3 linked regions of the Tamandua tetradactyla genome follow. Each later gene encodes a partner of the first gene's protein in a complex. Links are inferred from orthologs where the notes say so. Each region holds a gene or a part of one and is shown in the gene's direction. Other genes may lie near its edges. The genes, in order: ABI1, NCKAP1 and WASF2.

Region 1 (10,201 bases):
GTGGATGTTATCTTTGATTAGATGGAAATGTGACTCCACCCATTCCAGGTAGGTCTTGATTAGTTTACTGAAGGTTTTTAAAAGAGGAAACATTTTGCAGAGAGTTCAGAGCAGACAGAGCCTACAGAAATGACAGAAGCTTCAAAACTGACAGAAACTTTACAGCAGAGATGACACCGATGCATCACGTGGAGAACAGAGACATGGATATTTGGAGATAGTTGGAGCCCAGCAAACGTTGCTATGAGATGTTAAGCAAACTAGAACCTAGAGAGGGCCAAGGGAAGCCAAGAGATGAAAGTCAGCCCTGGAGAAGTAAAGTGAGGAACCCCAACAGAAACAGAGGCTGAAAACAACGGAGCCCAGGAGCAAGGGATCAGCAGATGCCAGCCATGTGCCTTCCCAGCTGACAGAGGGCTTCCTGACCCATTGGCCTTTCTTGAGTGAAGGTAACCTCTTGTTGCCTTAATTGGACATTTCCATAGGCTTAGAACTGTAAACTTGTAACTTATTAAATTTCTGTTTTTAAAAGCTGTTCCAGTTTTGTTATATCATTCCAACAGCTTGCAAACTAACAGAAATAGGAAGTGAGAACTGTGGTGTATACATACAATGGACTATTAAGCAGATGCAAGAAGGAATAAATTTGTGAGGCATGCAACTAGGTGAATTAACCTTGAGGACAGTAAGTTGAGTGAAATGAGACAGAAATGAAAAGACAGGCAGTATAATGCCTCACTAATATGGACTAACTATAATGTGCAAACTCTGAGAATTGAACTCAAGAGCATAGCTGATCAGGGGAAAACTTACTGTAAAGGTTCCTAGACTGTTTTACAGAAGTCACATTTATGCCTGAGTTGTAACTTTTATTTCTAAATTCTGAAATGTGGAACACTTTGTATATAACCTGGTTGTTCCCCGGAAATTTGGGTATTTGTGTGATCTCAGACTCAGAGTTAGAGTTCTGCATTTATGAAAGTCAGCATTACCCCACACAGCAACTGTTAAAAATGCTGGAAAAAAGATCAGACTTCAATTAGAGAGATGGATGAAGCAGATCTGATTAGGGCTAAGGTAAATCAGACTAAGGGTAGAAAATGATATTGACTGTATTTTAAAACTTCAGCTTCTGTGTGAGACCAAAGGAAGGGATGTTTATTTGGTGCAAAATTTATGTTTTTTTGTAGCACGCTAACTAATTTAACCTGTAGGGTTAGCTCCTTCTAATAAAATAATTACATAGAACCATGAATTGGGAGTGAGATCTTGTTTGTTTGTTCGGGTCTGTGTGAGGCCTTGTCCAGAGTAATCTGGACAGAAGACAAAAAAATATTTACAAAGTCCTCTTGAGAGATTGGGGGAAAAGGTGGAAATATTAAACTTCCCTGCTTGGGGGAAGACTTGATATTCTTGCAAGCATTGGGGTCTACCAATTTGATAGGCCAAGCTCTTGTTCTTGGGGCTTGCCCTTATGAAACTTAATCCTGCAAACGTAAGCTAACCTTACTTATAATTATGCCTAAGAGTCACCCACAGAGAACCTCTTTTGTTGCTCATATGTGGCCACTTTCTCTACCCCAGCTCTTCAGGTGAGCTCACTGTCCTCCTCCCTACATGGGACATGACTCCCAGGGGTGTCAATCTCCCTGGCAACATGGGACATGATTCCAGGGGATGAGCCTGGCCCTGGTACCATTGGAGTGAGAAAGCCTTCCTTACCAAAAGTGGGAAGAGAAATGAAAGAAAATAAAGTTTCAGTGGCTGAGAGATTTGAAACAGAGTCAAAGGATCATTCTGGAGGTTATTCTTATGTTTTATATAGATACCCCTTTTCAGTTATTGGTGTATTGGGGTAACTAGAGGGAAATGTCTGAAATTGCTGAACTGTAATCCAGTAGCTTTGATGCTTGAAGGTGATTGTATAACTACATACCTTTTGTGGTGTGACCATGTGATTGTGAAAACCTGGTGACTGACTCTCCCTTTATTCAGTGTGTAGATAGATGAGTAAGAAAATAAATACAATAAATAAATAAACAGTAGGTGGAGTGGGAGGGTATGGGATGTTTTGGGTGTTCTTTTTCACTTTTATTTTTATTCTTTTTATTGTTTTTGGAGTAATGAAAATGTTCAAAAACTGATGGTGATGATGAATACACAAATGATACTGGGTACCATTGATTGTATATTTTGTATATTTATTTTATTTGAATATGTAATACATTCACATGATTGAATATTCAAAAGGCTCAACAAGTAGGCTTTGAAAGGATTTTATCTCACATCGGATCTCCAGCCTCCCAGAGGCAACAGATGTTATCACTTTCTTATAGGCCTTCTAGAGATTATATGTACAAACAGTTTTTTTACTTAAATAGATCACATACTGTTCTGCCTCCTTGTTTTTTTTTTATTTCTTTAACCACACATTCCTGAGATCGCTGCATATCATATATTAAAATGTCCTCATTGTTCTGGGGGTGTGAAGGTAGTTCAGTGGTAGAATTCTTGCCTGCCATGCCGGAGACCTGGGTCCAATTCCCAGCCCATGCACTTCCCAAACAAAGCAATCAACAAAAATATGGTATGATTATATGGTATGTGAATATATCTCAATAAAACTGCATTTAAATATATATATGTATGGAGGAGCACTAGGTTCCTCCATATTTTCAGGATCTGTTTTTAAACTTTTTAATCTTTTTTTTAAATCTGTTTATCTATTCATGTCATCACTAAATATTTTTTTTTTTTTTTTTTTTTTTTTTTTTTTTTAAAGGAAAGACAGAGAGAAGGAAGGATAGAAGGCAGGAAGGGAGGAAGAAAGGGAAACATCTTTTAAACATTTTCTTGTTTTATTGTATTTTGTTTCTCCGTTTTTGTTACATGGGCTGGGGCCGGGAATCGAACCGAGGTCCTCTGGCATAGCAGGCAAGCACTTTGCCCGCTGAGCCACCGCGGCCCGCCCATCACTAAATATTTTTAATTATAATAGCTTTTAAATATATTTTCATAACTAAAAGAACTAGTTTCCCTCATGTAAAGAAAACTTGTCATTGCAGTTTGTGGAAATAGTTAAAGATTGAAAACAATGTCTTTCTATAATTATGATACATCCACTTACAAGAATACCAGAAAGAACAATGAGGAAATTTTTTTTTTTGTATGCTGTACGGCAGGGTTTTATTTCATTCTTTTCCCATGTGAGTATCCCGTTATTGCAGCACCATTTGTTGAACTTTTATTTTTGTTGATTGCTTTGTTTGGGAAGTGCATGGGCTGGGAATTGGACCCAGGTCTCCGGCATGGCAGGCAAGAATTCTACCACTGAACTACCTTCACACCCCCAGAACAATGAGGACATTTTAATATATGATATGCAGCGATCTCAGGAATGTGTGGTTAAAGAAATAAAAAAAAAAACAAGGAGGCAGAACAGTATGTGATCTATTTAAGTAAAAAAACTGTTTGTACATATAATCTCTAGAAGGCCTATAAGAAAGTGATAAAATCTGTTGCCTCTGGGAGGCTGGAGATCCGATGTGAGATAAAATCCTTTCAAAGCCTACTTGTTGAGCCTTTTGAATATTCAGTCATGTGAATGTATTACATATTCAAATAAATAAATAAAATTAGGGAAAATTCAGGAGGTCAAAATTTACCCCTGTTTGCTCAAAACTCTTATACAATTCGCTAGGACTTAATTCCTTTCGATCTTGACCTTCCAAGAGCTGCTTTTATGTGAGCATCTACATAGACTTGATAGAGTGTGGTCCAGGTGTTTCACAAACTTTTTTGACTTTGTTGCAGAGTACGAAATATGTTTTCTTATACATTTATTATTTAAAACAAAAACTTCCATTGATTATTACCTTACTGTTGTGTTATGCCCGCTAATATTTTCTTGCCTCTTTTACTTTTTATAATCCTGGTCATGATGCATTATATCGATTTCTTGATCATAGGTATAGAGATTCATTTTGGAAAACACTAGTATATACTATAATTGAATATTTAGAAACATTTTTTACATTATTTCTCACTGATTTCTTTACTCAAATGAGAAAACATATGATACTGGTCAGTTTCAGAATAGCTAAGTCTAAAATTCTTCTGCATCATGTGTAGAAGATTGGAATAAGATACCTATACTGGTAATTTGCCACAAAGAAACAGGCATACATCTAGAAGCAAAGTGCAGTAAACAATGATCTATTCTTTTAAGGGAAAGTAAACAGACAAGGACTGAATCCCATCAACTGAAGTGGACTTTCTGAATTGTTTTGGCAGTGGAAGGTCTTCAGTGGACATTTTATTTAACTTGTCAAAGAATACTCCTGTACATAAAGGAGTTTATAATGCGCCTGATTTAAAAAAGGCTTGGGTTCAATTGTCATTTAAACTAGTGAGATGTTAAGCAGGGAGGCAAGTCCAGGGTACCTATCACTTCAGCAGAAATTTCAGTAAGTCGTAATTACATACATCCCTTCCCCTCAATTGCATTGGTGGGAATTTATGGAAGAGAACCTCTAAGGAAGGTTGAGAAATGTAGTTTACCTGGACGGTCTAGTGGCCAGTAGGAAGGAGAGAACAGATTTGTGAGGGCAAACAAGTTTTCATCACAAAAGCTTACATGCATTGTGTTACTTTGAAAATGTGCTGAATCCTTTACGGTATTTTTGTTACCTCCTTTATTACTTTGAAGGCATAGGTTCTAGCAAGATTATGTAATTTACTTAGGGCCACACAGCTGGTGGATGGCTGAGGTTAGATTTAAAATAAACAAGGGGAGGGACTTCCAGAATGGTGGAGAAGCGACCTCAAAAACTTGCTGATAAAAGCAATAAACAACAAAAATTGCCAAAATCAACTTTTTCACAACTCTGAAAACCACAAGCTTGCAACAATCTGAGGAGCACTTATTCAAGAAAAATAGCTGAAACTCAGTAAGAACAGCAAGTTTTGTGGCGTTTTCATTTGTTTTTCTTCCCTCTCTCCCTCTAGCTCCACAGCAGCCTCTTGAAAACCGACAGCATCACAATCACGACAGCTGTGAAAAGCCAGCAGCTTAGCAGCCACTTGGAGAGGAAAGACAGGTTTTGGAGTGCCTCCAAAAGCCCAATCATTTATCTGGCTGGAGCTCCCTGGAAAAGCCCCATTCTCAGTATTTTTCTTTATCCGACTAGACTGAAAGCTCACTCAGAGCAACAGAATTTAGGAAACTTATCAAAACCAATCAGAAGCAATTGCTTATCGCAGCGTCATCTTTAAGAAGATAAAGATGTGGGGTTTTCCATATTCTATTCCTTTTTAATCCTAATCAGAATCCTTGTTCCAAATTCACTGACGTCCTAATTAGGAAAGTTTCACAGCCTGCCCTGGGAAACGGTTTTATTCTCCAGAATCACCCTGTGGCGCCATCTCCCGGAGCGATAGCAACCTCCGGCCCTAAATCCCCCGCCGCAGGTCAACGTCCTTGATTGACGCCCCACTCCTTCCTTCCCGGAGGTGCCCTGGGCGCATGCGCTTCCGTCGCGACGCCCGTATCTCAGATACTACAATTCCCAGAAGGCGGTGCAGAAGAAGAAATACCAAATCCCGCGGCCTGCGCTCGCTGAACGATCGCGAGAGCAGGAGGTCCGGGAGGCTGCGCGGAGCGAGTGGCGGGGGTGGAGAGGGCGAGGAGGAAGAGGAGGCGGCGCTGTCCCACAATACCAGGCGGGAGGGCGGGCAGGCCGTCGGTATCCGGGCTGCGAGGGGCGCCGAGCTCCGCCGACCGTGCTGCCGCTGTCTCTTTAACGCGAGAGGAAGCGATGCGGAGGGGTGGAAAATGGCAGAGCTGCAGATGTTACTAGACGAGGAGATCCCGTCTGGCAAGAGGGCGCTGATAGAGAGTTACCAGAACCTGACGCGGGTGGCTGACTACTGTGAGAACAACTACATACAGGTGAGGCGCGCGCGGGCGGGCGCTGGTCGGGCCGAGGACCCCGCCGGCCGCGAGTGACCAGCCCCCTGGGCTGAGTGGGAGCTGCCCGACCTCAGCCGTGGCCCCCAGCCCCAGCCCCAGCCCGGCCGCAGCCCCAACCCCGGGCTTAACCTCGGCTCCAGCCTCAGCCGCAGTTCCTACCCCGGTCCCTACCGCAACCGGTCTCCAGCCCCAACCCCGTGTCTGGCTCCAACCTCAGCCCCAACCTCAACCCCAACCCCAGGTTAACCTCGGCTCCAGCCCCAACCTCAGCCCCAGCCCGGCCCCAATCCCAGCCCCAGCCCCAGCCCCAACCCCAACCCCAGCCCCAACCCCAGCCCCAGCCGCAGCCCCAGCCCCAGCCCCAGCCCTAGCCCCAGCCCTAACCCCAATCCCAGCACCGGTCCCATTCCCGGCCCCAACTGCAACCGGTTTCCAGCCCCAGGTCCAACCCCAACCCCAACCCCAACCCCAACCCCAACGCCAATCCCAATCCCAACCCTGGCTCCAGCCCGAATCCAGCTCTAACCCTGGCCCCGGCCCCATTCCCAACCCAGACCCCAACCCCAACTCTGGTCCCAACCTTAGCTCTAACCCCGACTCCAGCCCCAGCCTCAACCCCAGCTCTAATCCAGCCACATCCCCAACCCCAGTTGCAACACCAATCCTGGCCCTAGCTCTAACCCCAGGCCATCGCCCCGGCCCCGGCCCCAACCCTGCCCCTGCCTAGCCCCGCCGGGGAGAGCAAGTGTCGGGGCTGAGGGAGTCGGGCCGCGATACAGGAAGTGGCTGCGGCGGTTGAAACCCAGGAAGGGGAGGGAGAGCAGGGCGCGGGCGTCCCGGGCGGCCGCCTCCGGCGGGCTCGGCCCCTCGGCTCTGCGCGGGGACCGGGTCTGGACGGCGAGGCGGGGGAGCGCGGGGCCGCGCGGGGGAGGAGCGGCGGGGCGTGGGTCGGCAGACCCGGGTGGGGGCGATTATGCAGTTCAACCCAGAGGGTGTGTCTTTTATTTATTTAATTTTTAAAAAATTTGTCATGAGTCACATCACACAGACCTCCCGAGGAGTGGAGGGAGGGGGTGGGGAGTGAGGGAGGACGTTAGAGAGAAGTAAATCTTGAAATTCCTTTAAGTGATGGTTTGCTTTGCCTGCCTGTCCGTTTTCAGGTCTGGTTTGCCCTTCTCATCATTTTCACTTCCGCCCTACCTTGAGTATTTTAGAGATTGTTAGGGCTGTCATTGTGATAAAACATGGATTATTCTTAACTGCTTTGGGGAAAGGTCTTAAATACTCTCCCCAAAAGTTCTCAGGCTGACTTCATGAGTAACTTAAAATAGAATGGTCTAATTGCCGATTGCTCTCTTTTCTGAGGTTGCTCTCTTTTCAGCTTATGTCAGTGTATACAGTATGACTCCAAATAGATTACCCACTACATTTGTTTAGCTTTTGAACCACAACATAAATGATCAATTCTTGAAAATTTATTAGAAAATCCTTGGAACCTTATCTATGACAGATAGTTTTTGTTTGTTGTTGCTGTAACGATTGGAAGCGAATTATGTGTGTGGTAGTTAGGTTTGTAGATCTTTGGGTAGACCGACAGTTTGCAATAGGAGCAAGTCAAGTAGCAGAGCAGTCCTTTGTATCAGTATATTGGCACCAGAAACTCACTTGTTTTTGGTTAAGGCGTTGACCAAAACTCTGTAAGGTTAGAGTTTTTGCAGTTCAGAACTATAGTATTTTTAGATGTGTCTCCCATGTGGTTATCATTTTTAAGAACCAATGTTTCTGTGTTGGCAAATATTTTTCTTCTTTATTTTTAGAGGGAGATACTGTTTTAGAATATTTTGAATATTTGACAATTTCCATATTAGTAACATTGTATCTGCAGTAGTATTGCTAGGAATTTATCTTCATAAAACTTTTCAACCCTTACTTTAGTAATTCTAAGTAAACTTGTTGCATGTTTGTCCACCTACTGTATTACTTGTTTGTGCGAACTTTATATTTAGCCTTAAACATTTTAAAATCTAGTAATGTGGATATAATTAGCAAATAGAAAGGTGATTTTTGTCACTTATCGATATTAAAAACATGCAACTTTTATTCAACTTAATATTAAAAGCGTTAAAATTCAGGTGAACCTTAATTTACTGAAAATTTTAAAGGTTTTGAAAAACAAAGAGCACAGAAAATGAAATTATCCCCATCCCAGACAACTGTAGAAGCAGTGAAAGTAGTAGATAAGTAAGTACAGAAGGGGAGGCTCCTTTTGTTTTGCATGTTGGGAAATCAGACAAGTATATGATGTGGTAACTGCTGCTGCATGTTGGCAACTGTTAGTAGCTGAAGACGTGTGTTAACCTGTCTGCTGACTTTCTTTTTCAGATGCTTGTATGCTGTAAGGCTTTTTTCTCCTCTTTCCTCTCTGTCTCTCTCTCTCTCCTGACCTCTTTCCTTTTCCCCTCCTGCCACCATCATATAACTTTGAAGCACTTGTAAACTTCCTTGGAAATATCCCTAAATTAGATAAATCATGTTATTTTTCATCTCTCATTCTTTAAAATATTGGTACCATGGTACCAAGAGCCTCTGTTAGAGGCCTCTAGTTTTTTTTTTTTTGGTGGCTCTAAACTGGACACTAGTGAGATATCCTGATTTTACTGGAAAGCAACAACCAAAAAACAACCAAACCAGATGAAATTCACATAGCAATGATTGATGACCTTAAACCTTAGTAGCACATTTAAACCTCCCAGCTGCTTGATCAACTGTCTGCCTTCCTGACAGGGTCTTGAACAGGGTGAAGATGATGAAAATTCCTTATCTTTGTGGAAGTAAATGGATCTTTAGGAAGTGATAGGTGGTATGCTTAGGGAAGAAATCATTCTGGAAATATCCTTTGGATATCTGAGACCCTTTGGGATCTTTTCTATCCCTTCTATGATCTTGGTTTGGGTTATAACCAACATACTATGTGAATACCTTATCTCAAGGAAAGTATGCAGCTGTTTGTGTTTTGAGAATTTTTTGTACCCAAGCTGAATTAAATTATTGCCTGGGTGATTTTTATCCTGAGAATTCAGATTTCATTTTGTTGTTTCCAACAGTTTTGAAGTACAGTCCAGTTCATCTAAGGTGTTTAGATGACAAGTTCTTTTGGTTATAGTGCAGTTGAGTCCTTGGATCAGTTTATTTGCTTTTTGCGTTCTGTTGACGTTTATTAAATTGTATTATTGATAGCAAAATGTCTGAAGAGTCCACTGTCTTTAAAAGGACAAGATTTTCAGAGTTTTTATGGGGATTTTTAAATATGAATTTGAAAAAGTCTTTGCCTTGTCTGTCTTTTGTTTGATACTACCAGTTTGAATTTCCTGCAGGGTTGTATCAAAGCCAGTCACTCCTTAACTCAAACACACTTATTCATTTGGCCAATTCCCCTTCTCTTTTGCAGGGTCCATAATCTCAGTGAAGGGAAGGGAAGTTAAGTGAAAAGGAGTAGAAACTGCTTACGAATGGTTTTTCAGGATGTAGCTTGCTGGCTTGGGTAAGGGTGGAAAAGTCTCGCATACAGATTAATTTTTAAAATTAAATTTATTTTTCTGCTGGTGTTCCACCAACAAAAGCTTCATACATAACAAGTATTTTCTCCAAGCTGGGAGTACAAAGGAGATACCAATTGTATGTACTATATTGAGCTGCTTAGATTAGTTTGCTTTCCTCCCAGCATTACTTTAGCTTATGTGCAGTTGCTTGTTATGCACATTTGATTTTCCAAGGCAAGTAATTTTTGAGCAGGACACTTTGGAATAGGTAAAAGCTCATATCTCTGGTACTATAGTTTTTGTTGGTTTATAAACTATGTCATTTATTACACCACCACAACTTTTCTTTCTTTTTTTGTAATGGTTGAACAATCTGAGATTCAGAGAAGTTAAATACCTAGCGTAAGGCTTCGTAACTAGTATGAGCCTGCAGTCAAATCCAGATTTTCTTATTCCATTTCCTAAATTCTTTTCATTGAGTCCTGAATGGGGCGCTCACTGCAGCATGAATACAAAGAATGTATGGCGAAGGGAGTAGTGAAGGGTAGAGGGTGATAGAGTTGTTTCTGTTCGAGTTCCCACTCTATCAGTCTCTGCTGGTGGTTTTGTATCATTTTAATCTTTTCAAAAACTCTGTATGATAGGCAGTGTTCTCTTACAGATGAGCAAATTAGGACTTAGAAATTAAATT
Region 2 (10,822 bases), on another chromosome or scaffold:
ATGTTTCCATACACTGATACATATTTCATCATACACTATTTAAGTATACTTCTAAACATGGTAAATTTCTAAACAAAGACAGAAATATACATAAGTCCTTTGTACTGTGAAAAGAACTGAGACAGAATTAAAACTAATAATAAATTGAAATTGTTCATTACATTGGAATTTTTTCACAGGAAAAACAACTTATTCATTTATTTGTTATTTGGGGTGCATGGTTCAGGAATTGAACCCAGATCTCCCATTTGGAAGGCAAGCATTCTACCACTGAACCACCCATGTGCCAAAACTGAAGTTCTTTTAATGGTTTTAAAAAGAAAGATAAATCTGCCTTAGTTTTGCAGAGCAGAAGCAAACAAACATGTGAAGTATGTTACCAAAGGTCCTGGCAGCTTATAAGCTATATTTAGTTGAATGTGAACAAACAAGATCAAGGTTGTAATTAATTTTTCATTTTTTTTTTTAACTTTTCGGATCAGTTCTATTTCTGGCACCTCTTTCCCAACGACTAGAGAGATCTTGTGTTTCATTGAGGCTTGTTTGGTTTCTCCTCAGCTATACCAAATTGCAATCTCTGGCTAAGTCTTAACTTCTCACATCATCTAGTACAGATACTGGGATACTATTGCTCCATCTTTTCTCTATTCTCCTTCTTAAGCATTCTTAGCAGAGTAAATTTTTCATACTTTGTGATCTCTGCCACATAGAAGGACAGAAATGGAAGTACTGCCTTAACAAATATACAGCCTATCCTTTCTATGACCACTGCTAAACTTCAAAATATTCTATCATTCTTTTCCAGAATTCTACACCCAAGGTTGATTCCTTTGTTTATATCATGGTCTGAATATATGCAGTCTTTAAAACAACTTTTGAAATGAGAAGGCCTTACAAAACTCCATTCAATTTGCTACTTATATATGTCTAATCCTTTTTACAATTTGATTAACTTTTCTCTTTCTGCATTCAACTTGTCAGAAAGTAGGAGTTTCCTAAAGGAAGGGCTGGAGGGCAGACAAAAAAATAATGTCTATTCCATTATTAACAAGCTGTACCTAAGAGAAATTTGGTCATATATTTATAGTTATGCTTAGCTAGTGCAACCTGGTTTGAAGTCTGATGGGAGGAAAAATGTTGCATATGTCTTTAAGAATAAGTGGAATATTACCTTTGACAGGAAACGAAGTAATCAACAGTTTTTATCTTAAGACTCCTTGGAGATGACCTTTATCAATTGTTTCTTTCTTGTTCTTGCCTTCCATAGGGGAGCGCCAGATCGGTGGGTTGGCTAAGTGCTTATAAAAAGCAAATGAAAACATTCTTCACTATTATCATAAAGCATTACGGGAATATTTCTCAATCTAGATTCTGGAGAAAGCAAAGTTAAGGAAAGCCAACTAAGAGAGTGGGTTTATCAGGACTATTTATGAAGTTCTGGGTAGGGTTAAGGGAATCTGGAGGGAGCTATAGAATCATATTGATTCGCATTACAAATTTATGCCATCCAATTTTACCTGGTCTTCAGTGCTGCCACAACAGTTAAGAGCATGCATCATGCCGGAATAGATCCCAGTTTAATTTGGGCAGTGAATAAAGAAGTATTTGCAAAATCCCCTTGGGGCACTGGGGAGAAAGGAGGAAATATTCAACTTCTCCATTTGGAGAATTTCTGATATTCTCTCAAGCAGTGGAGACAACCAAATCAATAGGCTGAGCCCTCAATCTTGGGGTTCTCCCCTATGAAACTTATTCTTGCAAAGGATAGGCTAAGCCTACTGAAAATTAGATCTAGGTCACCCCCAGAGAACATCTTTCATTGCTCAGATGTGGCCTCTCTTTCTAAGCCAACTCAGCAGGGGAACTCACTGCCCCCCTACGTGGGACATGACTTCCAGGGGTGTAAAAATCTCCTTGTCTATGTGGGACAGAAATCCCAGGACGAGCCAGGACCGAGCATCACGGGAATGAGAAAGCCTTCCTGACCAAAAGGGGGAAGAAAGAAATGAGACAAAATAAAGTTTCGGTGACTGAGAGATTTCAAACAGAGTCAAGAAGTTATCCTGGAAGTTATTCTCATGCATCATATAGATATTCCTTTTTGGTTTATGGTGTACTGGAGGGAAGTACCTGAAACTGCAGAGCTGTGTTCCAGTAGCCTAGATTTTTGAAGATGATTGTATAAAGACATACCTTTTACAATGTGACTGTGGGATTGTGAAACTTTGTGTCTGTTGCTCCTTTTATGCAGGGTATGGATGACTGAGTAAAAAAATATGGATGAAGGTTAAATAAATAATGGGGGGGGGGTGGATAAAGGGTAAAATAAATTGGGTAGATGGAAAAAAAATCTTAGTGGTCAATGAGAGGGAGGGATAAGGGGTATGGTATGTATGGTTTTTTTTAAAATTTTTATTTCTTTTTTTGGAGTGATGTAAATGTTCAAAAAATGATCATGGTGATGAGTACATAACTATGTGATGATATTGTGGCCATTGAATGTATACCATGTGTGCAATGTTTATGTGTTAAGATTTATCAATTAAAAAAAAAAACAGAACTGGCAATTTCCCACTGAAAAAAAAAGAACTTTGGAGTCAGACTGACAAAGGATCCAGTACCAGCTATATTATTTTCTATGGGTGCAGTCACGAAAATTTAAAAATCTACATGTATTTCCATTTTCTCACCTGTAAATGAAGATGGGTTGTTGAAAGAGGAAAGCTAGAAAGTGTAACTCAAATAGCAGCATTTGCACTAATGCACACTTAGTGCATATCAAATTTAATTATTATTCCTTATTTTATTCCTATTAGAGATATTGTTTTCACAGAAACTATAATTATTTAGGACCAGATTTGGCTGTGAGTAATAGAAAAATCCAAAATAAAAGAATCTTAATAGAACTTTATTTCTCTTACACATAAAATCTAGATCTAGACAAGCTAGGTTTAGTACAGCAACTCTGCTCTGGCAAGCCCACACACAGCTTTCATCTATATGTTCTGCCATAGATGTTCCTTAGCGAGTGGCTCTTGTCTTTAGGGTATAACAGATAGGTTGTTACAACCCTCATTTCATGTGACAGTTGAAGTTGGTAAGAACTGGCAAAGGAGAGCGGCAGCGGTCTTTTATGGGAGGTTCTTGAAAGCTTACATTCTATTGGTCAAAAAAATTAGTCAAATGAACACACTAAGCTGCAACGGAGGCTGGGAAATGTAGTTTTTATTCTATTTCTAAAGAAAAGTACAGAAGATCTGAACAATCCCTGCGACAGCCAGCAACTGTTTCAAATTAGTTTACCTTCCTCAATTTCCCAAAAGTTACCTTTAGTTCTCTCATTTTCCTTGTATTTTTTTAATTAAAAATTTCTCCTACCTTAGCATTTACAGACCTACACATTTTATGCTCTACTTCCCTCTCTAGCTTTATTTCCCTTTTTTTCATGTATGTAATGTACATTCCTGTTATTTTCCTACCATTTTGCATTTGCTGAAGCTGAATTCTCAAGGCCAAGCTCAAATGTAAGTTACTCCAATAGGACTCTTAGAAACCTCAGATTGAAACTGCTCTATCTAGTGGTTCTTCTCTCATAGCCCTGTATCTCAACCTGTCTTATACTAGATTTCTTTATATATATTTCTATACTTACCAGAATGTGAGTCAGAGGATAGCCCCACCCCCCCCAAAAGGATCTGGTTTCATATTTCCTTCTACCATAGTACTCTGTGCATTTTAAGTATTGATTAATGTATTATATAGAATTAGAAAATGTTCTTTAAATATCCAGGATTGTTACTATAAATATTTAATGTTTTATACAATGTTTTATACTGCATATTAAAAACTGCAGGCAAGAGATTGCTTTCTGAAATTTTACATGAGTAGAGTTTTATAATTGAATTGTAAAATATATTTGGTACTATATAATGTAATTCTATTGTAAGTTCTTATAAACCCCATCCTCTTGATGTCGTTAGAGTGGGAACCTTTGTACTTGTGCTGACAGATATCATTTTTCAAACACAGATATATAATAAAATCAGATGTATTGAGGTATAATTAACATACAATAATATTCACCTCTTTTTAGACATACTGGCCTATAGTAGTTAACTCTCATATTTAACTTTCTAGGATTAGTTCAAATATAGCTATCATTTACTTTCTACATGTCTCCAAAGACTTATACTAATTTTGATGATCTCTGAATGTGTTCTTGGGACAAAGAACAGAAATCTCAACTGAAATGAACTATTTGAAAATCTTTAGTACCAAAGGAATGGTGAAGGTTATGCTTTGCATGATAAAAGAAACAAAAGCTATAATCACGCTTTTTAAAACTCAGTTTTAAATCATTTTAGAAATGTATGCTTTTCCAGGAAACTAGAGCAGGAAAAAACATCCACATGAGCAATTTTTTCATAAATTTACTAGACTGATTCATGTGGTATGACATTTTCAGATTGAAAAACCAAAAGGAAACATAAAATGACATATACTAATTACAACTACTATAAAATCATATTAATATGGCAAAATATATGATTATAACCTTAGGACTGATCATGTACAAATGTCAAAGGACTTGGGCCTTATATAGAGAAATGCAAGATTGTAAATATTTCATCTAGATCTAATTTTACTCAAGTAGATATATTCAATAACACTCTATGGTCAATATTTCTAGCAATTAGTTATAATAAAAATTGAATAATGAGAATAGCGTTCTTGCTTTTTAGGGTACTCTTGGAGTTATAAACAGCTACAAGTGTGTTCATGTTCATATTGAAACATGATAGAGGCGTTTCTTGAGGAATAAGAAACCATTTTCTGCCATTTTCTCTCTGCGCAGCTCTTAAAAAATACTAGAAAATGAGATAATCTTTCATAAGTGGGTCTTTGTAATTATGCCTCTGGCTAACTTTGTGGTGTCTTTTGAGAGTACAATGTTTCATCAAAGTTCAGCCCTTTCTGAAAATTTTCTTTTCTGGCTGGCACAAATAACTCAATGCAGACCCTCTTCCCAGGTCTGCTGTTACCACTCAAGATTGTTGGCTCTGCTAAATTAAAAACTTAACTATGTGGTTGGAAAGTAATCAGAGAGATTAAATCCCCTTAATATGTTTATGACAGATTACAGCTCAATAGATGACCCTTCTGAGGTGATTGTATTTAAAAATAAAAAGAAAAAAGGACTTTTTAGATACAAAGTCTTTTTTCAAGATAGTACATCTGTAAGTACAGCATAAAATTTCAAGCACAATGGCAGGTATTACATAAAGATTTTTGTATTTGGTAAGTGTAGGGTTCTTTTCAATGCCCCTTAAATCACCCATTTAGTCCAGTCTCTCTTGCTGGGATAGTAAAATGCAGATTTCCATAGGAATAGTTGATATACTAGCTTTAAAAAATGTTTTAAAAGCTATTCGTTTCAATTTCCTTTTCATAAGGTGTTTTAACAATTCAAAGATAGCTTATTTATTCATAGAATGCCTTTTATTGAAGGTGGCAGAACATTTTGTCATTGACTTAAAGTTAATGAATATAAACGTAATCTAAAAGACTAACACATTGAAAGAAGGTAGGGCCAAAAATATCAAAGCGGTTTGAGTTCTCTTGGGTGGAATTCCCCACTTCAATCAATTATATAAGCCTATGATTCGTTCACTTTTGGAACCATATCTAATATATTGACCGAAGGAGTGGCGTTGGAGTATGGCTGAGAAGAATGTTTCCCAAAAAACGGGTGGGATTTGTGGTGCAGGCCGGGAAAAAACTGGGAGCGTTCCTACATTCATTGAACAAGCGTTTATTCTGTGCCTCCCACGTACCAGAGCCTCTCTATTAGCTTCTCCGGATGGGTGCTCCCTTTCGACAAACTCTAGATTCTGATTATCTCAGGAACTTGAGTTGCCCCCATTTCCGCCGTCCTCCCGCATAAACTGGCTTAAGGCCGAGAAGTAAGAACGGGATGGGGAGCTTGGAGAGGCAATGCTCGCCTCGCGGAGCACAACATCTGCTGTGTTCTGCGGGGAGCGTCTGTCAAGCAGTGGGAGGAAAGGCGCTTGGAACCACCAGCCCACTCTCAGGAAAAACTAGCCTGAAAAATACATCACTCCCCACCCTCGGTGCTTCTGTCGGTTTATTTGGCCTGGAAGAGGGGGGGGGGCACGGAAACGCAACTTTTGCTGCCACTTTGGGAACTTTAAGAAGGGTGTGCGGCGCGAAGAAACTTCGGTCCCCACTTAGGACTCCCTTCCCGGAATAGGGAAGAGGCAGGGGTCCGGGTTCGGCCCTGGTCCTGGTCCGGAATCCGAGCAGCGGCGGCGAGGCCGGGAGGGGAGGGCCAGTGTCCGCTGGGCGCTGTTCCCCGTCCAGCCTCGCGGGGGCGCCGGCGCGCCGGATCAGGTGACCGAGCGCTGGTCTGGGGCTGCGGGAAACGGCCTCGTTCTCAGCCGCGGGAGACGCCGCCGTCGCCGCCACACCTAGTGGAGGAGCAGGGGAAGGCGGCTCGGTGGGGGCTGGGACGGAGAGCACAGGGGGGTGGGGACGGAAGGGCGACCGGCGGAAAGCCAGAGGCAACCAGGGCGAGGGCTGCTGCGGGAGAAGGGGGCCCCGAGGCGTCAACCGCGGCTCGTTCTGTCGCCGGCGCGAGATTGGGGCGCGAGGGCCATGGGCGCGCTCCCTTGAGGCGGAGGTCGCGGGCGGGAGGGGAGGAGGCCCGAGAGCGGGAGCTGCGGAGGCCGCGGGCCGGTGACTGGGCGCTAGGCGGCCGGCGGCGGCGGTACCACCACGATGTCGCGCTCCGTGCTGCAGCCCAGTCAGCAGAAGCTGGCGGAGAAGCTCACCATTCTGAACGACCGGGGCGTCGGCATGCTCACCCGCCTCTACAACATCAAGAAGGTGCGCACGGGCCGAAGAGGCCGCGGCGGGCGGGACAGGAGGGATGGCAGGGGAGGCCCGGGGAGGTGGGGGCGGCGGGCGGCGCCTTGGGCAGAAATCTCGGCATCGCGGCGTCAGGCCTGGCCGGGAGTCGCCGGGATGCGCCGCGGCCTATTGCGGAGTCCCGGGAGCCTTCCCGGTAGCTCATGGGCTGACCGTAGGCAAAGAGAAGCCATTTCCCGGTTCACAGCAGCGAGATCCGGCGCCGGCCCGGCACTGCGTTCCCGGGCTCCGCTGCCCCCGGCTCTTGCGCGCCTCCGCCCCTGCGACGGGGTCAACAGGAAGAAGAGCCCTCTGGGTGGGCGAGATTTTAGGGGGATTGGGAAACTTCGGCGTTGTGTAACTGAGGCTGAATGGTAGGTATCTGGCGAAGATGGTAGCGCAAATGGGATTACACCCCACCTCTCAGAGAGTGTTTATTTGGTGTGTGGGAATGTGGGAAGGGAATGGCTAATCAGGATGACCCGCCACCCCTCCACTCTGCCACTTTATTCTGGATTGCCAAGTAAAAGCTTTTAGAGAGGGTATTGACAAGTTGGCATTATTTCATTTTTTGAAGTGCAGAGGAGGGGTAGGTGAGGGTGGAACAAATTTTCTTCTAAAATACTTCTGGGCTGTGAGTCACAAGAACAGGAATAACAACCTTTTCTCCCCTCCCACTTTACTCCTCCTCATTTTAGTTTTCCCAACCCGGTTTGACGTTACTAAAACACTGTTCTTTAAAGTTCGGTGTCAGTGCAAAATAAAAACCGCAAATAAGTTGCTATTACTGCTGAATTATAACATTCTGATAATGTGAGTGAATATAGCTAATAGACCCACCGAAACTATTTACATGTCTTCAGCAGATTAAGGAATAAAAGGCTGAGTTATAGTTAAGACAAACAGATGTAAAGATAGAACAAAGATTACATTCATTATTTTAGGAAGCCTTTCCTTTTTAAGAAATTTTTTTTCTTTTGAGGAAAGGTTGGCACGTTTTAAGAATTTGATTGAAAATTAGAGATTTTGTGTACAATCTAAATCTTTTTAATTTCCTAAGTACGTTTCGTGTTATATCTTCTTGATTATTTTTGTTGGCTTTTTAATAGATCAGGAATTTTCCGTTTTAGTTTAATCATAGCAATAAGCAATAGAATTGTTATGCTTGCGAGTTAGGGCTGCTGCAAAAAGATTATATGTTGAAAATTCTTATTGTGGAGTTCAAGCATAAAAATGATTTATTTCTACAATTTGATGTAGACACCATAATTCTAAAAGGGTAGACTTCCCTGGCTTCCTAATGATAAATTCTAACTGCTCCTCCAGTTGCTTACGTGGATGCAAAGATTGACTCTAAATCCTGTGCAATCTGGATTATAACTGCAACATGCCTGTGCAATTTGTTACATTTTATGTGGCAGAAACTGTCACTACAAGGAAGACTTCCATATTTACTAAGATGCTTTGGTTATAAATTTATATAGGTTAGAAATAATTTTATTTTAGATAACATTACTTATCTTACTCAAAGGTTGCATTGACCTGAACTTTTTATGAGATTATGCTCTTAGAACAAATTCGAAATTGGTTTCTATATGAACTTTGTCCAAAAAACTGGCAAATCAAACATTACTGAAAGTTGCTAGACTTGTGGTATTGTGGTTAAAGGAAATGGTTATGATGGTTTTGTGAAGAGGAAGTGAGAGTAACATCAAAAGTGATTAGGGTGTTTTGGCAAAATACCGTTTTGTAAGCATTCATTAAACATCTTTACTCTGTAAATGCAACGAAACTTGACGTACTCCACCTACATAAATTAAGTAAGATTCTACTGAATTCTAAGTATCTGAACTCAATTATAATCCCAGAAGACAGTTCGCTGCCTTTTCTCAAAAGCAGTATTTTTTTTTTCACTTCCTGTTTTGAGAAGTGAAAACTTTTCGGGTTCTCTTATTGTTGAACTAGTGAAATTTAAAATGAGTTGAATGTGATCATTATTATTAAGTTACAAATATTTCAGCACTTAACACATTTATAGTTGGAAAATATTTTATCAGTTTATCTGATTGTACGTTCCCTCATAATCGATCTCTCTGGGGAGGGACAGTGTTATTCATCTTTGAATTACTAGTACTTAGGGCCTTAACCAGCAATGGTGCATGAGGCCTTCAGTAAGGCCTTGTTGAAATGAATTAATACAACAACAAAAATATATACCTTGCTCCAATTTTAATTGGAGCTCTGTTTGCTCTTGTATAATTTTTCGAACAAAGCATCATCTATATTTTTGATCTTTTAGACTCTAGAGTAAGCTAGACCCCAAGAACTTGGCAGGGATTGAAACATTTGTTCAAAAATCTTGCCAAAAGAGTGAATAAGATCTGTTCGTCATGTGTTTATAAGGTGCATGCTGTCTGCAATCTTACTGATACTATAACTACGTAATTTTTTCAATCACAAGTTTATAGCCCTTGAAAAAAAAACTGTACCTCATAATATATATCTGCAAATTAATTGTCAACGTTTTCATTAATGTATTTATTCATTAAATTGTGTATGAGATCTTATTATCCTGTTTCAATTGGAAGTTGCTCTGGAAATTATATTTTAGTGAGTATGTACAATGAAAATACTTCAGTGACCTAAGTAACTCTCTTCTTCAATTAGTAAATAATAACATGCTTTCACATTTATAAGGGGAACATAAGGCCACTAAAAACTTTTTAAAGAGAATTTCATCAGTCAAAAAAATTTTTGATATCTTAATATGTACCAGTTTTGGGAATTTTAAAGGAATATGTAATCTAACTGGGAATGTGAGAAGACTGTACAGAAGGATTTTAGAGAAGAGTCATGAAGGGAGTAGACAGTTTTTTTTTTTTTGCATAGTCCCGGCACCGGGAATCAAACCCGGGTCTCGCCCACCCAACAGTTTTAACTTAAATTTATTTGTTCCTTAATTCCTAAAAGTTTTAATTTTTATTAAAAATAAATACCTTCTCCCTTTCTAGACATGTTACTCATATGTAGTGATGATTTTCAACTATCTTCAGGCTACGTTTATATCTGTTACTTGTGGTATGGCAGGCAGTTAAGAGCGCTGGGACTTTGCCAGGAGTTAGGAGACTTGCATTCCAATCTTCATTTGGTCACTGAGAATTTTTTAACCTTGGGTCAGTGACTTGGCTTTCTTGAGCTTTGCTTTGCCTCATCTGTAAAATGGGGGAAATTAATTTTAATAGGTGCACTAAAGTCTTTTTTGGCTCTTATTATTTTATCTTTAGAAGTTCATGGTGAAGTAATAAGTAGAAGTTATGGCTCATTTTACACAGTAACTGGGTTCAGTATAATTTTCTGTAAAATAGGAATTTTTTTCCCTCCTTTACAGGTTTGTTTGTGAAAATAAAAGGCAATAATAAATGTGAAAATAGTTTAAAACTGTTAAGATTGTAAGATAGAATTTATTTAGGTGCCTGAGCAGCTTTTTTGGGGAGGCAACATTTATTTCTCTGAAATTTTGCTGCTGTTAAACTCCCAAATCCCAAAACAAAATATTTTGCTGAATTTAAAAATATTTCTTCTGTACCATTTAGTCTTCCCTTTTTTTCTGTCTCCTTTCTTTTCCTGTACCATCACCAGCATGAGTTTCATAACTCTGTAACAAAAAGGACTCAGTCAATGCTAGTACCTAACTATTGCAAACTTTTAAAAATGGATTATTTTTATTTTTAATTTTTTTTTTAATATTTTTATTGACAAAACAACATACAAACATTCTTAACATAGTAACATTCCATACATGGTGTGCAGTCAGTGGTTTATAGTATCATTACATAGTTGTGTGTTCATCACCATGATTATTTTTGAACATTTGTATCACTCCAGAGAAAGAAAG
Region 3 (10,122 bases), on another chromosome or scaffold:
GCGGCAGGCGTTTTTCCAGAGCTTTCATTTCCGTCTGCCTCTTCTGAGCAGGTGAAAAACCCCACAGAGGGCCCTTCACTGAGTCCTCCCCGCTTTCCTCCCCCTCCTCGTGCTGCCTCATCCCCCACGCTGGGAGAGGGGAGGTGAGGCATGCAGTGTGGGGGATGCAGGGGAGGGGAATGAGGAGGTAGGGGAGCGTCACTCTGGATCCTTCCTCTCCAGCAACCCCCCCCCCCCCAATCACCACCACCACTTCCCCATCAAAGGCGCTCTAGGAGGAGAGAGCATTCCAGGTGGAAGGAATGGCAAATGCAAAGGCTATGGATTAAGGATGTGGAGGCGGGGAAAGCCTGCAAGCTTGGCTGGAACCAAGGTTTGGGGCCCCCTGGGATTGCTCAGTGGAAAAGAACTTGTGAGAATGAAGAGAGAGTGAGAGAGAGAGAGAGAGAGAGAGAGAGAGAGAGGAGAGAGAGAGAGAGAGAGAGAGAGAGAGAGAGAGAGAGAGAGAGAGAGAGAGAGAGAGAGAGAGAGAGAGAGAGGAGAGAGAGAGGAGAGAGAGAGAGAGAGAGAGAGAGAGAGAGAGAGAGAGAGAGAGAGAGAGAGGAGAGAGAGAGAGAGAGAGAGAGAGAGAGAGAGAGAGAGAGAGGAGAGAGAGGAGAGAGAGAGAGAGAGAGAGAGAGAGAGAGAGAGAGAGAGAGAGAGAGGAGAGAGAGGAGAGAGAGAGAGAGAGAGAGAGAAAGAGAGAGAGAGAGATCTAGTGGTCCCAGCAAGAGCTAAGGATGCAAAGAGAGAGAGGGTGGTGGGCGACAATCATGGGCTGCAAGCACAGTGCACTCTATCCTTTTCCCCTTAGATTGGGGTGTGGGGGCGCAGCATTGAGAGACTTTCTGTACCCATTGTTTGGTTCTTCCCCCTGGAATGCCTCAGCAGGCTGCACTCAGCCAGCTCTGAACTAGGCGCTGGCTCCTGGCTTTCTGCACATCCTCTCATAGTATTTTCTCTCCAACTCTTTGAAATCAGTATTAGTCACTCCATTTTATAGATGGAGAAACTGAGGCTGAACCAGGTTTACACAGGGTGCCAAAGGCAGAGCTGGGACCTGAAGTCGCCTGCTATCTCGCCTAGGTTGCTTTCCTCCGGAAGGGATCGCCATCCCCATAGCAACAATGAGAGGAACTCCAGCGTGGACTGCATTTCATATTTTATGCAGGCCTAATTTCTTCTGCTCTTCACACCGGACCTGTAGGCAGAGCTGTTATAATCCTTTTTTCATAGATAAGGAAACTGAGGCTCAGAGACGCAGTGTGACTTTGCCAAGATAGAGCCATAAGTGGCAAAGTTGGGATTCAGACCCAGTCTGGTACACCAAATGTCCTTTGCTTCCCCTTGCAGAAGCAGAGGGTCTGGTCTCTGCTCTTACCAGCCTCAGGAATAGGGAACAGGCATTTTTAACAGGCATTTTAACAGGTATTAAAAACAGGTTATTTTTTAAATTTAGTGCAAAAGGAACAGGGCTTGGTCTTGGGAAACTGGGGACTTGCCAGGAGCAGGGAACAATTTCACCTCTAACTCCTTGGATAGAAGAGCAGCAGCAAGTCCTTTCAAGTTTCCTGGTTGGGTTTGAATCCCAACTGTACTTATTCCTGACTGGTTGACTTTAGGCAAGTCACTTAACCTCTCTGTGCCTCTTTTACCTCATCTATAAAATGGGGGATAAGTACAACAAGACAACTTACAGGAAGGCTGTGGGGATTAAATGAATTAAAACATGTAAAGCACTCAGCACACGCCTGCTCCATAATAAATGCTCAATAAATGTTAGTGCCTGTTATTACTATTGATATGCGCTCATCCCTTGAAAACAACTTGTCTATCACCATTGCCTCAAAGGAGAAACTGAGACTCCTGTTGTCAGTCAACCTTCAAAGAAAGCCCGAGATCTTTATTTCCAGGGCAGGTAGTAATTTGATATTAACAATAATAATCATGGGTGGGCCACAGTGGCTCAGCAGAAAAGAATGCTCGCCTGCCATGCCAGAGGACCTGGGTTCGATTCCGGGTGCCTGCCCATGTGAAAAAAAACAACAACAAAAAAACAATAATAATCATTATTAGAGTTAATAGGAGCTTCACATTTATTATATCACTTAATTCTCACAGTTTTGGGAAACAGAAACAATTATTTTTTTATTTTTATTTTTTACATGGGCAGGCACCGGGAATTGAACCCGGGTCCTCGGGCTTGGCAGGCAAGCATTCTTACCTGCTGAGCCACCGTGGCCCGCCCGAAACAGAAACAATTATGATCCCCATTTTATGCATAAGTAAAACGGAGGCTCAAAGAGGCTAAGTCACCTGTCCGAGGTCACACAGCTAGGAAGTAGTGTATCCGGGATTTGAACTGAGGCTTGTCTGGCTCCACAGTCTCTTAAGACAATTAGAGTCAGATGACAACTCATCCAGTGCATAGCTGCCCCACACAGCTTTCTCCCAAATGTATCTGCTGGATCTGCTGCCTCAGGCTCACCTCCCTCCATGCCAGAAAAATTGAGCACTGTTTATGGGCCGGGATGCTTTATACACCTTTCTGCATTCAATCGTTATCCTCACCTTATGACCCGCTATCATTATCTGCATTTCTCAGAAGAGTAGCTGAGGCACAGAAAAATGTGATGATTGCTTAAGGCAACACACTCCTAGGTGGCAGAGTCGAAATTCAGCTCCATGCAGATTTGCCTCAAAGCTGATATTCTTTCAGGGACTCTAAAAGAAGTGCAGAGATCCTTGGAGAATAGCCCAATTTTCAAGGCCAGGTACCCTCATTCTTCAACAATTTGGTGTCCCACAAGGTCTTGTGAGCCCTGCCCCTCCCCACTGCCACCAAGTCCATTGGCCTAGATGCCTTTTCACGTCTAGGCCTGTAACTTCTCCCCACCTGTCTTGTTAACCCCCACTTATCCATTTCACATTAGACATCTCTTCCCAGGGAAGTCTCCTGCCCCATCTCTAGAAGTTCACTTTCATAAGCACATTGTAGTTTGCCTTCTTGCTCCTTATCACGGTTTCTAACTGTATTTTGATTTGTGTGATCATTTGTTCAAAGACTTTCTTCTTCACAAGACTCTAAGCGACATGAGGGTCCAAATCTGTTTTATTCACCATCGTGGCTGCAGCACTGGCAGGCTGCCCTGCATGTTGTTGGTGCTTAATAATTTATTGAACAAATGCATCCACGAATGAATATATAACTACGGGGCACTTGACACACACGGCTCATTGATTTCACAGTTAACTCATTTAACCTCACAAGTGCCCTGTTATCCCCACCTTTGAGAAAAAGTTGATGAAGGTCAGTACTGCTTTCTGCAGTAGAACTTGGATTCAATCTCAAGTCAGTCTGACCTCAAAGCCACTGCATACTGCATAGCACCTGCTGTCACCTAGCACCAAACGCCACAGTTAGGATTTAAATAGTCACAGGTAGTCAAACCACACATCCCAGTTGAGCCTGGAGGTCCACAGCACTGGGGCCCTGTCGACACCACACCCTTTTGGCCAGATTTGTCCTTCCAAAGTTTTAGGCTGCTCCCCTTCTCACTCCCTTCTTGGCTTTCTTCATTTTTAGAAAGGGAAAGGGACTAGGGATTACAGCCAAGACAGCCCTTCTGGGAAAAACAATCCTGTGGTGAAAAAAGGCCTGTTGTGCGAGCAGAGAGACCTGGATTTAAGTCTTGGCATGAAGGCTGCCTTGCTGAGGGCACACAATGGGGTCACTGCCCCTCTCAGAGTTTCTGTGTCATTTGGGATACTGCCGGGGCTGCTGAGCGGCCAGTAGTCTTTTACTCTTGATTCCTAGGGTCCCCAATTCTGAAGGTCACTTTTCCCCACAAATCTTGGTGACTGACAATAGCTAGGGCCCAAATCTATGGTGACCAAAGAGGTGTGGGAAATTCTGCCCTCTTTCCCCAAGACCCTTTCTGGAAGGCTAGGGGATGGGGGAGGGAAGTCTTTTTCAGGTGACACGGAGCCTGGGAGAAAAAAAGGAATGGAAGATTAAAGACAAAGAGTTGAGTCTCACTCAGGGCTGTTTCCAATTCCCTAGGGGACCCTTGGCATGTCAAAATATCCCCAGACTAGGTTTTCTCTTCTACAAAAACGAGGACAATACTTGCCCTACACAGGGTAGCTCTGGAGAACCAACGCAGATATCTTTGCTAACTTGTGAATTTGTCACTTCGTTATCCAGCTGCAGCCTTTTATAATCAATGGACATACACACCCATTTATGCATAAATCCTCAACCATCCCAGGGAGTGAGGCAGGCGTGATTGTTCCTATTTTGCAGAAGGACAAACTGAGACCATGAAGTTCAGGGACTTGTCGGTGGTCACAGAGTGAAGTGGCGACTGAATTGGGTCCAATTCACCTGACCCAATACAAAGGGCCTTTCAGAACCAGCTCCCAGTCCCAGGGGCCCTTGCCTCTCCTACGGCGAAACCTTCCATCGCGGGGTAGAGCCAGTGACTCAACCTCATCCCCACCCTACTTTCGGCCGAGTCTGGACCCGGAGGAAAGGGACAAAACTATCTGCAACTTGAGGGGGAGTACATAGAAAGTTCACGGACTTGGTCCCTTCCTTCCACCCAAAATACTGGTCCTTTAAGCTCTACCAAGAAGAATTAGAATTTCTATACACTTTGTATGAGTTTTTATACGTTCTTACATGGAATTCTCCTACCCTGTATTTAGGAGTTGATTTACTTTAATCTATACTCCCACTTCACTTGGTTTGCTCCCTGCTGTTTACTCCGTTTGCGGAAGTCGCTCGGGTGGAGCTCCCGGGACTCTACCCTTGGGTGCGTCTTTTGCGTATTTATTTAACTGACATTCCACTTAAGCCAATGGACTGCTCCGAAGCCCCAGGAGGGCGGGGCAGAGAACCAATCAGGGCTGTCGGCGGGGTGTGGCTGCGTCCTAGGGCGGGGAATCGCGTAATGGCGGACGCAGGCCGGGCGAGCGCGGCTGGGGGCGTTTCGCGCTGAGGGGGGTCCGGCTGTGTGGCAGGCTGTGAGACGGCCGGCTGAAGCAGACCCTGTGCGGAGACAGGGTGGCTGGCCGACGTTTCTGTCGCTGAGGGCGCCCGCGCGAGGCCAGGTGAGCAACAAGTCCCTTCGGGCGGGCGCCACCATTCCGCGGCACGGCACCCGGCCCATCCTCCGCTCCCGGGAGCGCAGGGTCCGGGAGGAGTGGGTGCCGAGCCTCCTGCTGCGGCCTGGAAGAAACCGGGCGAGCCATCTGCGCCGGGTGACTTCTTACTACACATTCCTCACTTCCAGGGGCCGGAAACTCGGGGTTCCCTTAGGAAACTTGGAGGGGCCCCGGGTCTGTAAGCCTGCGAAAATGCCTGAGCTGGCTCTGCCACTTTCTGTGTGACCTTGGACAAGTCACTTCCTTCTCTGAGTCTACTTTCTCCATTTGCAAGACGGAGGCTTTGTAGGCAGACAGATATACATGGATGTTGTCTGAGATATTGAGCAAGTTCTTCCCCAGGCTGAGCCTACATTTCCATTTCAGGACCAAGAAATATTTCTGGAGCTCCCAGCCTGCTAAGTTGCTGAGTGGTCGAGAGGACATTAAGGTGTGTGTGTGTGTGTGTCTGTGTGTCTGTGTGTCTGTGTGTGTGTGTGTAGGATGGATTGCAGAGTAAAAGAGTGGGCTCAAGCGGTTCCCCCAGCAATGCTCTAGATGCCACACAGAGACCATGATGGAGTGGGACCAGATAGTCTTGGCCCTCCAGAAATCGTACAGCCTTTGAAATGGGGAATTTTTATACAATTGGGTATAGAATCAGAGAAGAGGAAGAGGTTCTTGGACCCTCTTGGAGCTGCGATTTGATCTTATGGCCTAGAAGAAGTTAGGAGGAGGAGAGAGAAGAACATTTATGCTGCTCCTCTTACTATGTGTATGTATTATTTAATTTTTACAGTAACCCTTGAGAATTTACACACGAGGAAACAAAATTTCCGAGAAATTAAGTAACTTACTCAAGGTCACACAGTAAGGTGCAGAGCTTACCAGTGTTAAAGTGTTTCCTCTGAATCACTGGCCAAGGGTAGTCACTGCCCATTTAAAAGATAGTAGTGGGAAAGTTTGCTTTCTCACAGAGGGGGAGGGGTCTGGCCCTGGTGCTTGATTTGACTCCTGGCCTGGAGATTGGCTGGGTGGTGATTCCTAGATGGTTTATTAAAAGTCCGTCCCCTTTCTTCAGTTGTGAAAAGAAAAGGACCATTTCTAAGTTGTATAAGTCACTTTAAAGTGTATCAAAACTCAGAGGGCTCAGTTTGAAACCTGGCCTTGTGGCCTGTAGAAGAAAGTTCACTGGCACTTCATGTACGAACCAAATCCTTTATTCGGGTTGTGCCAGCCCAGTAACTTCCTTTCCTCCTTAAGAAGGCTACATTTTCTTGGGATGGGAGACTTTTCCTCTTTTCCTATTTGTTAGTTCGAATTTCTTTAGATTTGAGGGATGAAAGATTCAATACCCTGCCTCTGATTGAGTATAATGTTTCTTTGTTTTACCTGACTTGTAGGTGAGCAAAGATTGTGAACCTGTGGGAAGTGAGGAGGTGGGGGTAGTTGAGTACCATAAATTGCAGCGTTTAATTTTTACAAACCTCAGAGCTTTTGGTTAATCAAAATGATAGGACCCGCAGTGGGTATTGTTCTCGTATGTCAATGGTGGGGAAGAAAATTGGAAGAGGAAGTTGCTGAGAAAAAGGGCGTTTCTTAGCAGTGAAGCCAATATGTATTTCTTTGTTTGAAATTCTAAAACCAGAAAAGCAGCAACTAAAGGAAGGAAAGAACTATGAAACTTCTCTTCCCCTTCAAATATCTTGACGCGCTGCTTCTGTCAGAGGCTCTGCTTTCACAGAAAAAGTCCATTGTAATTTGTCAACTTTCAGAAATTGAACTCTAGAATGAAATGATTTTAAATCTTAAACCTTCCAAGATAATTTATAAATAAATCAGAACATTTTAATGAGTAAGTTAGTTATTGTAGATGATCCTTTTACTCAGCATAATTACCAGTTCAATCTTTGGCTGTGTTTTTACTGTGATTTAGTCAGATTTCAACCTAAGAGGAAATGATCTAGATATTATATAATGCACATGTTGCCATCACTTGGAAAACAACATAATGGTGTGTTTGGTTTTCGTCATTTATTAAAAGTCCTTTTAATGCTTCATTTTCCAGGGTTGTGTGTGTACAGTAGTTAAGGCCTTGAATTTATTGCATGTAAAGATCTAGGTTCATCCTCAGTATTTGTCATGGTCAGGTTCGTGTGTCAACTTGGCAGCTATACACATCACTTTAAACCAAGTTTAATCTTTAAATAGAAAACTCAGGCTACTCTTTGCTTTTCTCGGATACCTCTACTGTAGAGTGATGTGAACTAGTATTGTTGGAGGATGAAGGATTGTTTCTTCTCTTTAGAGGAAGCCCCATGACAGCATGAACTTGAGGGATTCTTTCCTTAATTCTGGGCCTTAATTCATCTTCCCTCTTGGAGTGACTCCATAGTCCCAGAGAATGGTTCCTTTAAACTGTGTGGGAGGTAGAAGGAGTGTAGAACTGTGTATCAGGAGTTACTGGTGGAGTTGATCTATAGTTGGACTAGGAAATTATTACTATCCAAATTGCCCCAGTTTCTTCTCTTTAACTTCATAAGCCCTGATAATATTGCAAAAGGATTAAATTTAGTTAACTAGAATCCTATTCCAATTTACCCTGGTGTGGCTGGGTAAGCTCTTGAGGACAGGAAGAGTATCTTATATTTCTTTTGTATTCCTTAATGCCCAAAGGCCAGAGCATGAAATTTGTCTTGCATCAGAATTACTTACAGAGCTTTTAAAAAATATACCTATCTGGCCTAGGACCTCTGATATCAGCAATACACAGTCCAGTTGAGAACAATTGACATAAGCACAGTGTAGGTGTTCAGTAAATATTTGTTTAATTTGCCATTGGTCTTGGCATGGGTTGGGTAGGGTGGGAGTTTACCCAGATTTTTCATAAAGTAAAATAGCTTTCTAAGATAACAGCACACATCTAACGGTTGGCAGATCTGGACCCATGGTTGGTGTAGTTCATTGCCGGATATTCTGTCAACATTACCATTCTCAGGCAGGATTGAATGTAGTCTATCAAAAGGCAACTAGAAGTTTTGTTTTCTCCTTGAGTGGTGGCCTTCCTAAGATAATTAGGTTAGCAGTTGTGAAATTGGGGATAAGTAGAAATTCAAGGATTCTTGGTGATTTGTGGGGGGGAGGGAAGTGGGCCAGTGGGCATCAGCCATGCCAAGGGAAGAAATGGAAAGTTGTGATTTGACTGGGTCTCCCCACATTTAGCACAGTGCAAGAACATAATTGGTGCTCTGTAGCTTTTTGTTTACTGAAGAAATGAATGGCTCTTTGTTTGCGAAGAGGCTGTGAAATAAGATGCTTCCTATTCATCCTTGAAAACTGGGCTAAGATGTCGTCTGTGAAGCTTTCCCTGGGAAAAGCTGAGTGACCCTTTTGTATGTTTTCTCCTTTGTTAATGCATTTATCAGTTTGTGAAAGCTGATATTAGACAATCTATAAAACTCCTCCACCTGACTGTGAGCTCTTTAAGGGCAGCACCGTATGGTTCATTTTTGCGTGACCAGTGCCCAGCACGCAGTAAAGACTTAATAAATGCTAATGATGCTTAAATTATGGCCTCTATATTCTGCTTCATTCTTGTGAACTTCTCCCCCAATTTATGGTCTTTCCCTTTCGATTCAGACAAGCAAGCATTTATTCTTCTTCTGAGAATATTAAATTATTATGAGAGAAATAATCATTATTATTTTTCTGAAAGGTAGGTCTTTCTTGGGCCTTTGCATAGGGTTTCTAAACCGTCTTGGTACTGTTGACCTTTTGGGCTACATAATTATGCATTTTCGGGGGCTGGTCTGTAAATTGTAGGACGTTTAGCAGAATCCCTAGTCTCTAGCCACTGGATGCTAGTATACCACTTCCCCAATTGTGACAGACATTGTCAAATGTCTCCTGGGGGGCAAAATTACTCCCTGTTGAAAAATCACAGTATCAAGGGTAGGAGTGATGGGCTAGTAAAGAGAAGTGGGTATAAATGCCTTCAGTTCATTCATTTTCTCCTTTTCTTCCTTCTTTTAGGCTTTACGGTCTCCTGTCTCTGCCTTTTGGATAGGAAAGAAAATGAGGGAAATTAGGAGGTGACAACTTTGAAATAGCCCCATTATTTTTATTCTGTTCAAATTTTATTTTACTAGACTTAAATGTATTAGAGTAGTACAGGTAGCTGAATTATTTATGCAGATCTATGTAAATTCAATTTCTACCACTAATTAAGATTAGATAAAGAACTACTGGAATATTACTATCTTGTAAAGTACTTACTCGGAAAAGCTCATGGCTGAAAAGTTTAACACCTAAGAGAAGCCAGTATTGTTTTTATAGTGAACTTGTTAGACTTGTCAGTATTTTTCCTTGATAATGTTTGAGCTTCTTGGCTAAGATATATCTTTTGATGTTCCTGCATATGCATAGGTACTTTATAACTCTAAAAAAACATGTTTAGCTAATAGGCATTCTTTATAAACTAAATTTTTTTTGTAATAAGTAGATTGATCAAGACAGTGGTCCTTAGGTTCCTTTGGCATTAATGAATGACTAGTCAGTGGTTAATTTTGGGGGATTTTTGCTCTCCTTTGACCAACCCTCTGCAATATAACGTTATAGTCATTCATGTCTTAGTTACCATTTAAATGAAGTTGAATGAATGTTTTTTTTTTCCCTGTTCCATTTGAAGTTGTGAATGGTACTCTGGAGAATTTCAGATGTATGGTTATGAATAGTATCTCAGAATTGTTACCATTTATGCAAATGAAACACACTTCTTAACTTAGAAACCAAACAGAATTGAATTAGAAAAGAGAAGAATAGAAACAAGAATTGTTGAGTACTTGCAGGCGAAATAATGTTTGAAAGTAGCGATATCTCAGAAAAATGTTTTTCATCATGATTTCTACAGATTAATAAAATAATAAAGATAAGCAG

What was found.
Region 2: ABI1 (region 1) and NCKAP1 share a complex: the UniProt entries of both Homo sapiens proteins name them as parts of the WAVE2 complex. The link is inferred for Tamandua tetradactyla from reciprocal best matches to the Homo sapiens genes ABI1 and NCKAP1.
Region 3: ABI1 (region 1) and WASF2 share a complex: the UniProt entries of both Homo sapiens proteins name them as parts of the WAVE2 complex. The link is inferred for Tamandua tetradactyla from reciprocal best matches to the Homo sapiens genes ABI1 and WASF2.

What each region holds. Positions count from the first base shown.
Region 1 is NC_135327.1:223,995,820-224,006,020, forward strand, and holds the start of ABI1 (abl interactor 1), read left to right. Parts: upstream 1-5,674; 5' UTR 5,675-5,833; coding exon 5,834-5,950; intron 5,951-10,201. UniProt on the Homo sapiens protein: May act in negative regulation of cell growth and transformation by interacting with nonreceptor tyrosine kinases ABL1 and/or ABL2. May play a role in regulation of EGF-induced Erk pathway activation. Involved in cytoskeletal reorganization and EGFR signaling.
Region 2 is NC_135329.1:155,921,582-155,932,403, reverse strand, and holds the start of NCKAP1 (nck-associated protein 1), read left to right. Parts: upstream 1-6,436; 5' UTR 6,437-6,798; coding exon 6,799-6,906; intron 6,907-10,822. UniProt on the Homo sapiens protein: Part of the WAVE complex that regulates lamellipodia formation. The WAVE complex regulates actin filament reorganization via its interaction with the Arp2/3 complex. Actin remodeling activity is regulated by RAC1.
Region 3 is NC_135328.1:198,769,045-198,779,166, forward strand, and holds the start of WASF2 (actin-binding protein WASF2), read left to right. Parts: upstream 1-4,985; 5' UTR 4,986-5,154; intron 5,155-10,122. UniProt on the Homo sapiens protein: Downstream effector molecule involved in the transmission of signals from tyrosine kinase receptors and small GTPases to the actin cytoskeleton. Promotes formation of actin filaments. Part of the WAVE complex that regulates lamellipodia formation.